Linked DNA regions of Astyanax mexicanus. The protein of the gene in region 2 interacts with the protein of the main gene of each other region in a pairwise test. Links are inferred from orthologs where the notes say so. Each region holds a gene or a part of one and is shown on either strand. Other genes may lie near its edges.

Region 1 (7,920 bases), on a different chromosome or scaffold from region 2:
TCCTCCCTTGAAGTTAGTGCCCTGATCGGAGTGCTCTTAGCAAACAGATGCTCTGCACCTGGATGCCTTAAGTCTCTGTCTGTCTTTTGAATGATCAGTTTGGTTACAGGGTGCCTTGGATCCAGCACAACGGGATGAAACATGTCAGTCTCAAGTTGCATCAGCCGACCCCCCACACGAATAAGTCGCAGATCATGATCAAACTCCGGCATCAAGGTCAACAGAGTAGGGTAGTGGTTTTCTTGCAGCAAGACACTGCACCTCCTCAGGGAAACTATCCAGTTGTGCAGATCTTAAAAGGCTGAGTTCTGCTTCTTTGAAGGGCTCTTCTTTTGGATTTCCCTCTACTTCTACAGCCGCCCCATGAATACATCGATCTGTCTCAGCAACTAAGTCACTGTATTTGACAATCAGTTGTCAAATTGCTGAGCACCAGGGATGGCATGGGCAGAGGTTATTGTTGTCAGCAGACAGATTGCATCTCCACATAGATCACTACAGTCTTCAATGCTAGGGCTTGATGACATTAGATGGCCATTGGTCAGGTAGTAAAGCTAGAAACAGGGGACCACTAGCTCACTGACTCTTTCCTACTATATCTGCCAGTGACTTCCCCCGTGTAAGGTCATCAGCTGGGTTCTCAGCAGATGTCCCATACTGCCAGGATTGAGTGTCAGTCAGCTACTGTATCTCTGTAATGCGGGTGCCCACAAACACTTTGTGACAACAGGAGTCTGATCTAATCCATGAAAGAACAGTTGTGGAATCAGTACACATGATGACTTTAAAGATGATCAAAGTAAGCTCATTCTGCAGCAGCTTAGCTAATTGTGCCCCAGTAAGGGCTGCACACAACTCCAAACGAGGTATGGAGAGTTGCCGTTTGGGGGCTACTCTGAAACAAGCTGTTAGAAAGTCCACCTCTACTTGCCCATGCGTGTCTTCTGATGCATCACAGACGATGTGCACCTCATGCTTGCTATGAATGTGGTCCAATTTGGCACTCACATAGCAACAAAGTAAGCTGATGTTGTCTAGGTGTTGTAGCACTGACGCAATTCAAAGCCTTCTTCACACAACAGCCTTCTCATGTTGTCCACCACAGTCCGAGCATCTTCTACTGTAAGGAAACTCTGGAGCCAATTGTCAACATAGAAGTGCTTGTGCACTGAATGACAGACATCATCCCCATCAGAACTGTTGTCACAAACATGCCGCTGAAGAGCATAAATGGTGCAACATGGTGAGCATGTTGTCCCAAATGGAAGGACTTGCCACTCAAAGATATCGGGTTGGGAGTTTCTTCATAAATCACATCAGAGGAAGCAAATAAGGGAACAATCTTCAGGAAGCTGCCTAACCTGAGAAAACATGCCCTTTATGCCACTGCTGATGGCAATAGAATGTTCCCTCAACCGCAGCAGGACATTAAGAAGAGAAGGCCCCAGGTTTGGGCCAGAAAGCATTGTGTGTCACTAAGTGATGGGGGTGAACCAGGACTTCTTTAGCTCTGCTTTATAGACTTCTGCCTTCACTGAATCATTGAGGAGTCGCTTCTCTGTTGCACGCAGTTGGGGTAGAACAGCTGTGAGTGGCTATAAATAGCAACAGTCTGTGTTTGTGCCTGGCGACGTGATATATAGTGATGGGCAGATGAAGCCTCATTGTGTGTATGGCACATTTCCCAAACTGTATCGACACTGTGTTGAAACTGTGTTGCTGTATCACTTAATGGCGACATCTGCTGGACTAAGAAAGTCATTGCAAGCAACTGCGCGAGGAAATGCATCGGTCACGTGGTTTTCCTTAAAATGATACGCGGCCCGACACAGGGGTTCGCCTTGTTTGCTCGGTGCATGCGCTGAAGTTTCAGTGTCGTCAGACCCATCGCTACCAAAGGACACAGGAAGTGTATCGGTCACGTGGTTTTCCTCAACTTGATACACGCACCGACACGGGGTTTCGCCTTGACAGCTCGGCGCATGTGTTGAGGTTTCAGGGTCGTCAGACCCATCACTAGTGATATAAGAGGTAGGCTGGCTAATTATATGATATGCTGAGGTAATTTACACTCTTTGTTTGTTAGCTCTTGGCTAAGCTGCTTGTTAATTTCTACTTATCCTGACTAACTTTGAAGGTATTTTGATCAGGTAGGCTTAAACTATTGCACTTTTTAAAGTTCTGTAATAGTAGGCAAATGCCTGTTGCATTTTAATTGTACACTATTAGACACTCTATGCTTTTGGGCTGCTTTAGCTCCATATGCTGTGTCTGTAATAGTTTAAGTGTTTTAGCTTTGGTTGCTACTACTTTATTTAACTGCTACTACTATATTTAACACTAGTACCGTTTTAGAATGGTCACCTGGGGACTTTAGGTAAGATATGTCTCAATATGTTCTGAACAGGATGCAAAATGGGCTTTATATCGTGTTTTTAACTAATTTTGTGTGTAATCTATTTTTAATAGAGGTTTAAAGCTGCTACCCTGTCCATGGGCGAAGTTAGCATTCCACCTTGAATTAAGTGGTATGTCTCCTCTTGTACTTGAATGCAATTTGCACTGTTTTCATGTGATGAATGTATTAATGTGTTTTTTGTGTATTTGCATAGAGAGCCACAGTTCCAGTGGTTGCCAGTTGCTGTTTTCTGTTTTTGTTGCATTTCTTTTTTTTATTTTGTTTATTCTACCATAACAAATTTTGTAGCACTAAGTGTATTAACTGCTCAGGTATTTTAGGTAATGTGGTTTTAATTATTTGCTCTGTATAGACTCTAGCCTATTTGTAACTACGTGGTACAATTAGTTTATTTTAGCTGTGGCTATAATTGTTACTGGGACTGGGGGTTTGGAGTCAACCATATTTGGCTATATCAAGTCCTGTTCACTAGAAGTGTGATTTTTAGTGCTTTGCTTTTTTTTTGTTTAAGTTTGCTGTGCAGTGATTAGTTAAACTTTATTCACGTGTGTTATTTTAGTCCTATTGGATTGACCTCATATTGCCCCATACCCTGGACCTAGTGGTCATAGTTGGGTAATTTGTGATTTTCTTAATTTCTTTTATTTATATATATATATATATATATATTTTCCTCTCACCTAATAAATAAAACTGACAGTGGATGTGACTTTGATACAGTTTTAAATAAATCATTGTATTTTCTACTACAGTCAAGTTCTTGTGTGTCTTAATTGAGAGTTCCCCTTACTCTAAATAAAATAAGTAATTTAAGGGGTGGCGTAGTCTGGTAACCCCTAGTTAGGGGGCGCTACACATGTTTCTAACTCGCAGCAAGGGTGTAGCATAACGGTGTATCCCATCAACTTCGACTCGCTGTGTTTTGTCTTACAGCAGGTTAATAGCCTCTTGGTCCCTCTGTGATCGAGTCACAAGTTTCTCACTCTGAAAAGGGTGGTTGTCAACCTGCCAAAGTTTCTCTACCTGACTGTAGTGATCAGAAACAGCAGAGCAAGTAGACAGGAACAGGCACTGCTGGGACATGTTCTGCTGTTGCATGTGCTTCACTGGCCCTTGCAGCATCCAGCCGAGCTGTGTTTTCACAGCTGCAGGACCACCAGGAGGTCCAAGATGCACTGGCCTGACAGGGGTTATCAGGTATGAATAGTCAGATCCTATGAGGAGGAGTGGTTTCAAATTGTTAAAGCACTCCAGAAGAAGTGACTTAAGGTGCTTGACCTTTCTATTCAGATGTTCCACTGGGTAAGTATGTGCAGCCAGTCCCAGCTGTGCAGCAGTGAATGCCCTTTCCACTGTGAATGTTCTTGCTGGTTGATCAACAGGAGAAATAGTGAATGTCACTGATGAACCCTGCAGTGTTCTTACAACATGTCGTGCTGTCCTCAATGTCAGCTTCTCTGAATTGCTATGGAGCTTTAGCCTTTGGGCAGCATCCTGGAGTAGGACTGTCCTCTCCCAGCCATCTTCAAGGATGGCATAAGTCTCTAGGGTGTTTTCACCATTTCGTAGAAGCACCTTGCTGATCTTGAGAAGGACCCGATTGCAACCAGCACGCCGATCCAAGTACAGAACTTCAGTGGGAGCCTCAGCTTTCTCTTTGGTACCAGTTCTGTTATTAACCTCATGAAGGGTCCTCAAGATGTTTACCCCTGCATGTCTTAGGCAACACTTTTAGTTGTCACTGTGCACCCCATGTCTAGCCAATGCATTGGCCTTAACTAAGTAATAAACATTTACCAATAAACATTCAAGTGTGCAACATTTTTAACCACCATCACTGTAATATACACAGAACACCTCTACTTACGGCTCTATAGACGCACACAGTCACAAAATCCACAAAATAACAAATATCCCTCAATGACCTCAGGAGCTGCTGAACTGGCTCCTCATGGTTCTGCTATGCACCTTCTAAACAGAGCATGTGCAATGGAAATTTCCAGACTCTCACATGTAGTCCACTTATTGGCCTCTAGGGGGCACTGTTCCTATAATCTTCACACATTTATTCATCCAATCTTCACAACAATACGTTATGCTGGTTGTCCAGTTGGTTAACCAGTTATTGACCAGCATAGTGTTACATTTGATCCTGAATGGTCTTGCTTATTGATCTGCTTGTTGATCTAGGTTGTGCTGGTTTATCTGCATGGTAAAGCTATACTTTTACAGCAGCCAAGCCATCAAACTCAAACTAAATCATATCATATAATGATGGCAAATATAATAAAGAGACAAGCTGGGCCTGATCTGTTATTTTCAGCAGAGATATAATTAGCAAAAATGGTATGTTTGATTAAACCAAGTGTATGTGTAAAGGATACATACATAGGTACTTTCACTCCCTCACCTTGGTCTTTGTTTTGTTCTTTCTCCATCTCTTTCTATTTTTGAGACAGAGTTTTAAAAGGTTCAGACTGCTGATTCCATTTAGCACCATTGTGAACTATTTAGACTATTTAGAGTGAAGACTTTTACACCAAACCCACTCTGAAAGACTCTTGGCCATTTAATGCTTTTAGAAAAAGCAATTATGTACCTGCAAACGGATTAAAGTATAAAAGGCTGACTCAAACAGGCAGCTGATCAAACAATATTCAGTTTTATTGAACACAACATTCTGTAAGGTGCAAATGATTTTAGTTTGCACAGTAGAAATAGTACCGCAATATTAAAACCCACCAGAACAATGAAACCCACGGTTCTGGCAGTTCTTAACTCAAGCTTTAAATCAGTGAATATAGATAAACGGGGAAAAGGGTAACAAAGGTACTTTGAATATATCTATAAAACATTCTTATAAATAAGTTTATAAATGAAAAAGAAGAAAACAAAAAAATTGTATCAAACGTGTAAGGCACGGCAGCAAGTAATACAAATACATTAATCTGAACAGACTGTCTAAAAAAGCCTCTCTAATGTTCTTCATTTAGCAGCTTTTTTGTTTTATTTTTTTTTTTTCATCATAAAATAACATTCCTATAAGAAGATGAACATCAGTGCAGGACAGAGGAATACCTAAGCAATCCCTCTCTCGGACAGCGTTCACACTAGAGATGTCCTAATTCAGATTCATTCAAATCTGATCAAAGTGAATTTCTTATTTCTCATACTGATCTAATCTAATCTTTAGAGGGTCTCAGAGTGGTTTGCTAGAACTCATTCATATTAACACTTTTTGCATGTTTGCTGTATCTCTAATCATTCTTTAATGTGTACAGAATAAGGACACTGCTTAAGGCTGGAAATAATGTATCTCAATGGCCACTAGATGGCACCAGAAGGTTATAGAACACAGTGGTAAAAAAGCTTGGAACATCACACCACATTCTACTTATTAAAGGCAACACCTTTTTTAATAAAACTGTGTCTGGATCTGGACATCCCAACACAGTAGGTACTATGTGGATAAGTGTAAAACAGCACATATGACACAGTCTCACTTAAATACAGTAGAACAATTGAGTAGAAGAGAGAGAACAGAGATGCTCTCCTCGTGCAAGGTCTTTTTGGCAGCAGATAAAATTAAAACGGAAAAGGTTATTTTACGGATACGTTCCTATCTAAAGCGGGTTCTCTTGTAAAACTGAGTGTAATGTTGATTGTCCAGATGATCAGGCTATTCTCTGGTTTCTGAGAGAGGTCAGAAGGCTCTTTGGTGTCCAGTGCTCTATTAACTTGGTGACCGGGTCCTTCAGCATGTATTTCAGATGTACTGCTGTAGGTCGGCTGATTATTGCAGCACACACTTTTCTTTGTTGCTGTACTTCCGACGCCGGAGCTCCAAACCACGCTCCAGTCGAGCGTCCTCCTCCAATGCCCTGAAACACACACACACACACACACACACACACACACACACACACACACACACACACAATTAGATTAGTGAGAGTGTGTATAAATAGACACAGGGAGTGAAGTGAAAGGAATGAGAGAAACAGTATATACAGTGGTGTGAAACATTTTTTTGCATGTTTTTCACTTCTACATGGTTAAAAGCTCCACTAGGTAGGATTGAGATTTCGTGCTCGTGGGCTCCCCCTACAGTTGCAGAGTGTAATAAATGTTTTAGGCAGATTAGTTTTTCTTTCTCGTTTTCTGGCTTTCACAGACATATTCGGTCTCTTTCCAGCTTCTGCCAGAGTGTCTGTATGTTAGTTTGTAAAGAATGAACCAGTAGTCCTTGTACAACTGTTAGAACTAAAGGTCGGAAAGCAGGTCGCAGTTCTCGCGAGCGTTGGTCGCGGCCGCCTCGGAAAACTTACTTAGAGTCTAGTTTGAGCTCAGAGAAGCTCCGGCACAGACACGAGAGCACCGCTATTCCTCCTATTACACCTCAATGCAGCGCTGCAGTGAGTTTCAAGCTGTAATTTTACTTCTTTAAAAAGATAAAAAAAATCAAGGAAATCCTACCTAGTGGGGCTTGAATTCATATTATAAGTTATAATATTATATTATATTATAAGTAGAAACAAAGACTTTTTCATACAGGGCCCCTAAGGTTTGAATTTTCAGTCTCCCCCAATAATTAAAACCCTTATTTAAAAACTCCATTTTGAGTTTACTTGTGTTGTCTTTAGATGATCTGAAACATGTAAGAATGACAAACATGCAGAAAAATAAGAAATCATGATCTTGTGTTTGCCCTTTTTCACACCACTGTACGTGTGTGTGTGTGTGTGTGTGTGTGTGTGTGTGTTTGTGTGTAGCACATAATTTTAAGACTCACCCTCTCTCTTTAGCATCCATATCCCTGACTAGTTCATCCCTCTGGTTAACCAGACTGACCAACTCCTGCAAGAGTAGCTGCTCACGGAGCTGCTGAGCCTGACTCTTTTTCCACTCTGACAACACACAACGAGCACACACACACAATAAACCCAGATTTTACAAATATATTACACATTTCGGTTGTAAAAACAATGATTATAGAGACTATTCCACAATAAAACAGATATATTGAATAAATGAATAATCAGTGTGATGATAATAAAACATCTGATATAGTCCTGATATACAGCAGAAAGTGGACTACAGGGTGTTCTGCTGTTTTAATGAGAGCTGATTAACCAGTTGCTGCTGCTCTGCCTGGGTATCTGTGTGCAAGACTGAATAAAACAAGGTGTAGATGTGATGCTAGCATTAGCTACTTTTGAAGATGGAAAATCTGACAAATGCACAACATTGGTCTACAGTTATGAAGGAAAGAGAACAAAAATACGTTTGACTGCAGAAAGTCTGACCGCAGTATACCTGCATGGTGCTTAACACAAAACATACCTCACCGTTACGTCATCTTTAAATGACCAACATTATGTGGTAAAAAAATATGTTCAGAACTCTGTATGGTTATTTCTTTGTACATTTTTCTCGTTAACATCACTGGATCCTCTGAATTACAAGATCCCTTAATAGTCGTAATAAGAATAATGCTAGCT
Region 2 (7,178 bases):
CATGACATCAGTTGCCATAATAATAATGTATGGCATGTGTTTAGTGCACGGCATATACATATATTAACAGTAGGGCTGGGAGGTTAATCAAATTAATTAGATTAATTTTAATGGGATTTTTAAAAATGGGATAATCAAAATTGTACTTTGTATCTTTACATTGTATCTTAACATGTAGAAGCTGCCAGAAACCTATGTTCATGTAGCTTGCCATCAGCTGCCGGAGCCCTGAGAGAGCACAATTGGCCTTGCTCTCTCTGGGTGGGTAGAGTGCGCTCTTTTCCCTCATAACTCTAAAAGGGTGATTTAGCTCAGCACAAGGCGTCTGTGGGCTCATGTATCGGGACCGAATTACTGTGCTTTCCTCTGAGTGCGCTGGCAACTCGAAAAGAGGCGGTGGCTGCCTTCACATGTATCGGAGGAGGCATATGCTAGTCTTCACCCTGCTGGTGTTGGGGCATTACTGGTGATGGGGGAGTCCTAATGAGAGGGCTGGGTAAGTTATGTAAGAACTAAACATCTGAAAAGTAATTGAGAATAGCTCATATTATTACTTTTTTTACAATATTACCCAATAACATAAAACAGCTAATAGCATAAAATATTTCAATAAGCACTCTTTTTTAAATATTAGATTTAAATCTGTATTAGCCAATATTCAGGGTTTCAGTATCAGCACAGGTGGAAAAAAGAGGTATTACACCATCTCTACCCACAAGGAAGACCCACATAAATAGTAGTTATTTTACAAAGTGGGATTTTTCACTGGGACAAATAAATTTATATCAAAGTTGAGAATTGCCCAGCAGGAAAGTCCCTCTCCTGTTTTTTCAGTTTTGACATCTAACCGAGTAAACTGCACATATCTGTTCAAATCAGGATAAACATTTAGCTGTTCATCTCTAAACATGCATGACCTGTCTGTAGTGCCTCAATTTTGATCTACTGGTTTTTGTGTGCTTAGGTAGGTTAGTTAGATAACCTAGCTAACAAGCACAGGAAAACTGTTGGGCGGAGAATAATAATAAAAGTATATGTACTTTATATGAATAGAAGAGGTTAGGCATATTTTTTTTTTCTATTTATTTTGTTAACCTAGCTAAAGCTAACCACCTGCAACTTTCACTTACCTACACTAGACTGGGTGAACTGAGTGAATTGTGTAGACTGTGACTCTAAACGCCTATAACCTGAACTACTGAGAAACTCAGAATTAACCCCTTAACAGGCCTTGGTCCATATATGGCCTACACATGTAGGTGATTTCAAACCCCTTTTCTCTGCACCAAAATAAAAGCTGCTTGTTCACTCTCTACTCCACCTGATAATTTGTTTAAAAAATGTTTGAAATTAGACATAAAAACTAGATAACGTAACAAAATAAAAGTTCAGACATAATAAAATAAAAAAAAGACATTAGGTGTTTGATTTGTATTCATGAAGCTTAGAAATTAGCCATTTTTGTGATTTTTATTCACTATATTTTTATTTACAATAGTTTTATTGTTTACCGTTACAGATTTAATTAAATATTGTTTCAATATTTTCTAAAGAAATATATATAATTTAGATTTTCAGTAATGTTTCTTATAAAATTTGAAACCTATTTATGTAATGCTTGGATAGATAAGTTTTCCTCAAGATTTAGGCGTGTAACGTTAATATCAGGCAGAAAATTGACAGACATAAAAAGAGATTAAGGTAGTAGTAAGTATCAACATAGCGTTAGATCCCATATTCTGCTGTTTAGTTCGCTAGCTATAATGCTCCATGCAAGCAGCTGAACTCCAGAAAAGTTGCAGAGACTGATATAACTAAAAAAACAGGCTTTGCTAATGCAGAACAATTACTCGACCAACAAGTTGGTTAGCTTAAGTGACAGAGGGCGGACAGCTCTTCAGTTTCAGTCACCCTTAAAACGTCTAAAAACTTCCTAAAATACCAAAAATAATAAACACTGTGTACAAAAACATAAACGACTCAAAAATCCCAACTAACTTTTTAATTTAAAGACAGTTACTCGCTAGTTACTCGCAGTTTGGTGGTCCTCTCGATCTTGATGTTAACCTAGCGCTAGCTTTAGCCAGCTCCACGAAACCGAGCTGGTTTCAGTCCTTAGGGAAGTTAAGCAAGCTAGTGAGCAGTTAGCCAGATCTATAGCTGTCTAACCTAGGTAGCTAGCTAGTTATTAGTTTGTAGCCAGATGCCATTTACACAGAATAAAGTAATATATATAAGGTACATGATGTGTTATTCGGGGCGGTTTATAACGCTAGCTAGCTAACGTTAGTTGCCTTGCCAACACTTTGAAAGAAAGTAGTTAGCTAACTAGCTAGGTAGCTATAGTAAACACCGTTAGCTATCATATCGTGAACACACGAATTCAGGTTGTTTTAACCGTTTCTAAGCCTGCTACTTTGGTAGTTTCGTACACAATTTGGGCGCAACAGTTTAGCCAGGCTACTTAACTCACATTCGTTTCACACGACTGGTTAACTAGGCTTAGTAACTCCAGCTTAGCTAGCGTTAGCTAAAGTTAGAAACTTACCCAGCACCGCGGCAGCGGCGGGATTAGCCCGGGCAATAGGGCAAATAGGGATAGAAGTGTCTCTCAGTAACAACAGTCCGGTTTAAAATCCAAACCAAGCGCTCTTAGCTAGTCCCCGTCCTTATTTTCTGCTCTTCCAACTTCTCTGGCACTGTTTCTCACAGCCAGGGTAAACTTCCAGCCCCCTGTGAGCCGCAGCAACAGCAGCAATATGGCTGAGTGTTTGGTCCGGAGGAGGAAGGGAAGGGAATGTGGGCGCTACTGAGTCAGTGTGGGAGAATAGAGCCGCTCTCAGCGCTTATTTACACTGATCCTCTACTCCTCCAGCCTGAATACTGGACTAAGATTTATGAACAACCCCGCTGCACTGCTCTCACTGTGCGTGCGCGTTTATAGCACGAACAACAGCCACACGAATACACACACTGACCTTATATTAACACCATCAGCCAGCAGTCTAGCCTGCGCTAGAAGCTCTCGCTGCTATTTTAGGAGTGCTCTCTCTCTTGTTGTATGTCTGATGAGAGAAGCAGAGCCACAGGCTGCGTCTGTAAGGAAGTAGCTAATCTAGTTAGCTAACCCACTACTGAAGCACAGTGTGACACAGAGCTACATTACTCCATTACAATACACTCTAACACTAACACAACTAAGAACTACAGGTGCGCTCTCAGTAAGTTACATACAACCATCATCTATTTCTCACTCGAAAAAAAATCATCCAGAAAGGAACACATAAGGAATCCTAAATTACTATAAACTTAAAAGCGTTAAACAAACCAAAAAACTCTTTGGTAGGGGTGGGCCATTAAAATAATATCATGATATTTCATGGTATTTTCACTATAACAATACTCTTGGCGATATGACAAAACACTGAATTATTATTTTTTTTTTTTCCAAAATACACTACTGCAACAAATAAAAAGTAATTTTATTATTGCATTCAATATGATATGGCACAACCCTAACTGAGATATTAAAAAATACAATAATTTTATCCGATTTGTAACAGAAGTCAATGATCCAGAATGTCATGATACTTATAATTCACTTCAAATATCTCCAATATATTTAGGATTAAAGTAAAATAAATGATACTTTAAAACATTTAGGAAGAAATAGGAAGACAGTTAAATAATGAATTCAGCACAGCTGTTAACTGAAAGCCAATCCAGACTCTAATTCATAAAGCTGACTGAGAAAATCCAGCCAAGATGTGCAAAGCTGTTTTCTAAGCAAGAGGTACTTACTTTAAATAAAATATAAAATATATTCTGGTTTGTTTAACACTTTTTGTTTATTGAATAATTACATAAATTTAGCTTCATAGTCTGAATGTTGCTAAAATAGCAAGATGAATGAAAAAATAGAAACACTACAGGTTTCAACTTTCAGGTTGATTTCTTATTTAAGGGTCTCATCATAAACATGATATCTTACATTGCATAATGTACCTTAGATTGTAGCTTGTTACCACTGTTTAGTGAGATATGTCTGTTTAACGAGTTAATGAGTTGTATCTACAGATCCATTTGCCCAGCCATTTTAACTCCTTTTTAACTCCTAGCTATTAATGCACCTTACCTATCTCCATACTGCTAGTCACCTGTGGCTTTTCATGCCTCTGTTTTCCTAGTGTGTCTTATTGTCTGATAGATAAGCCTTATATCCAATATGTTCCCCTTAAAGGCTCTATCTATGATCATTTCTGCCAGTAGATGTTGAACAAGGGCATCAGCATCTCAGACCAAAACAAATGCTTCACATATGGAGGTGAGCAGTTCCTGTTTTGGGAAAAACAAAAAACGAGTAACAGACCTGCTACGAACACAAAGACCATAAAACAACTGCCAAAGAGGGTGTGTGATTTTGCTTGACTACATCTTTATATAAAGTTTGTTGTTTGCTGCTATATTAATGTTTAAAATGTTGGATATATCACCTTTAAGGTCACATGAAGGCCCTGCATTTTTCGCGAATTCATGACAATTATACTATTCAAAAAAATGAAGGGATGCCTTTTAGAGAGATTCTGTTCTATGCTTTGATATTTTCCTAAAAAACTTATGCACACATCTTGGACTACATTGTAAGATCACAAAGAAGTGTTATTTGTAAATGCGGATGTCTGTATATGTCACTCCGAGCTGCCCATCCATTTAAAAAAATGCTTTATTGTTTCTTTTTTTTTTTAGATTTCCTGAAAATAATTTACACCATGTATATATCGACCTATTCAGAATGCAGCAGTTTAGCCCTGGCCATTCACTCTAAAGCAATTGCTATAAATGCTGCATTTATGTAGTATTTGAAACTGAAAAATTGCAAAGTCATATTTACTTCATATTTATTTATGTGTAAATATCATATATGAGTGAATATTATGGCCCTATCATTATCTAAGCACAACTCCAAACTATTTAAACTTGATTGCTTATTGAATTTAGTCATTTTCAGGAAATATATATTTGTAGGATGAGGACAGGTGTTAACACCCTAATTAAGTCATTGGATTAAGTTGTTTCAAGTGTTACAAGCACAAAGATGGGCAAAGAAACACCTAAAAACCAGATGTTTCAATAGTTTAAATAAGAGTGATGCTTGATGGAAAATCTGAATGGACCCATGTCTGGATCACAAAGGTCACCACATTAGCCAGACACCAGCAAGGTGAAGAAAGGGTTCTGGCATTGGCTGCTATTATGTTGAACTACATGGACCTTTCCGGGTTCAAGATGGACTGAAATATCAGGTCCTAAATTTACAGCATGCTTTTGGAAGATATTTCCTACAACAGTAAGATACTTTCTTCATGCAGGGGAACAGGTCAAAATCAGCAGCCCCACAGGTTCAATGTTAGCTTCATAAACGAATGTCAGTAGTGGGTCCCATCAGGCTCAGTGATGGAACCAGAAGAAGTTAAACATGGGCCCCATATGGGTTGTGCACTGTACATGGGGCCTAGATAGCACCCATGTGAAATTAAGGTGGGTTGCATTGATAGAGGCAATTTGGTTAGTCCAACTGGATTCCAGTAAAAGCCCACATGTCACCCATGTGAAACACATATGAGAATGTTGAACTGTTTTAGTGCTTGACAACAGACATTGCTCTATTAGCCTATATCTGAACGTCATTTCATTCAAAATATGTAAAATGAAACAGACTGTTTCTGTTGTATGGCCACACAAATATATTTAATTATTTCTTTTTTTATTTTAAAGCAACAACAGGTTTCTCAGTAGCTTCATGGATGAATTATTTAATGCTGAGTGTAACACAAATAGTAATATAGTGGTAATTTTCCATTAAAACGGTTCCAGTCACAAAATTCACAGATATATATAACCTTTAGCATCCCTCGACAACAGATAATATGATAGCAGTGGGGTTTTGCTGCCACCTACAGGCCTAAGAGGCTAATGCACTTAATTTGCTCTAAATGCCAAGATAAATCTGGAGATAATTAATTTGAGAGTAAAAACTTAATGCAAGCAGATAATACAGTTTATTTTTTTATTAAAGAAAAAAAAATGTGATAATGTTTCTGGAGCACTGTAGTGTTATTAGCCTGGACAACACTTTGAATGTAGCACAAGGCAGCCAATCAAAACAGTTCACTTTTTAATTTGGGAACGGTGTCATAGATACACTATAGGCTATATACGTATTCTCTCTTTCAATGTTATTATATACAGTTTCTGTCAATTGGTATCAATATTGCTGAGTGATAAATTAAAACAATAAAACAAAAAATACTGAAGATTAAAATAATCTGATTTTGTTATTCTATGAAGAACATTATAGAGAATGAACAGAAAATGCTAATCTAATTTCATGAATTTGATCACCATTAAGCTGTGCTGGATCTAGTGAGCCCAACAACAGATCCGTCAGCCAGAAAAAAACAGCAACATCTGATATCCAGATCCTGATACACACAGCGGGGTTTAAAAGTTCCTTTTATGTGGGCATTGAACGTTTACATATTATATGAAAATCGATCTAAAATTAAGCTATTAAAAACCGATGCGAAGGGCAGTCTCGCCTTCACGCGTACTTCTTGGTGCCATCTTTTTGCGCGCGCAGCGATCACACACATACACAAACATATACACACGCGCGCGCGCGCGGGATAAGCCTCACACACTCCCATGGATTTGACTCCTGAAGCCCGTCTCCAGGCTCGGAGGTAACTCGCACATCGCGCGCAATTCGTGCTCCACCGAGTTGCATAAAAAGGTTAGGCTGCGTTTTAATGTCATGCTCTATCAACACACTCAAGCATTTGATTCCATTGCACATTGTTTTTGTATTTTTTGTGTGGAATTTACATCTTATCTTATTTTATCTTCTTCATCTTATGAGATTTATATGTTCTTTTTTATTCACAAACCTGATTCTGTGTCTGGTTTTATTGGTTATTGTTATTTTTACCGCCGTCACTGCTTTTACCATTAAAATTTTCCTTGGGCTTTTGTTGTTTTTTCATTTTGTTTGTGTTTTCTCCACAGTTTTTTTACACATCTTCATAAACAATTTTCATTTATTTTCCATTTCTCAGAACTGTGTTTTTTATGTAATGTAAATGTAATGTAACTTTGTTAATATGCCTATCATGACAATA

Evidence for each region. The genes of interacting proteins can lie anywhere in the genome.
Region 1: the proteins of plekhf2 (region 2) and frmd8 interact in binary tests that used the Homo sapiens proteins (3 or more experiments, as listed by UniProt). The two-hybrid records come from large-scale screens. The link is inferred for Astyanax mexicanus from reciprocal best matches to the Homo sapiens genes PLEKHF2 and FRMD8.

The regions. Positions count from the first base shown.
Region 1 is NC_064427.1:12,714,509-12,722,428, reverse strand, and holds the start of frmd8 (FERM domain-containing protein 8), read right to left. Parts: upstream 3,066-7,920; 5' UTR 1-3,065. Other genes in the region: uncharacterized protein ehbp1l1b, read right to left, coding at 6,213-6,300, 7,212-7,326. UniProt on the Homo sapiens protein: Promotes the cell surface stability of iRhom1/RHBDF1 and iRhom2/RHBDF2 and prevents their degradation via the endolysosomal pathway. By acting on iRhoms, involved in ADAM17-mediated shedding of TNF, amphiregulin/AREG, HBEGF and TGFA from the cell surface.
Region 2 is NC_064413.1:18,442,118-18,449,295, reverse strand, and holds the start of plekhf2 (pleckstrin homology domain-containing family F member 2), read right to left. Parts: upstream 3,052-7,178; 5' UTR 2,549-3,051; intron 1-2,548. UniProt on the Homo sapiens protein: May play a role in early endosome fusion upstream of RAB5, hence regulating receptor trafficking and fluid-phase transport. Enhances cellular sensitivity to TNF-induced apoptosis.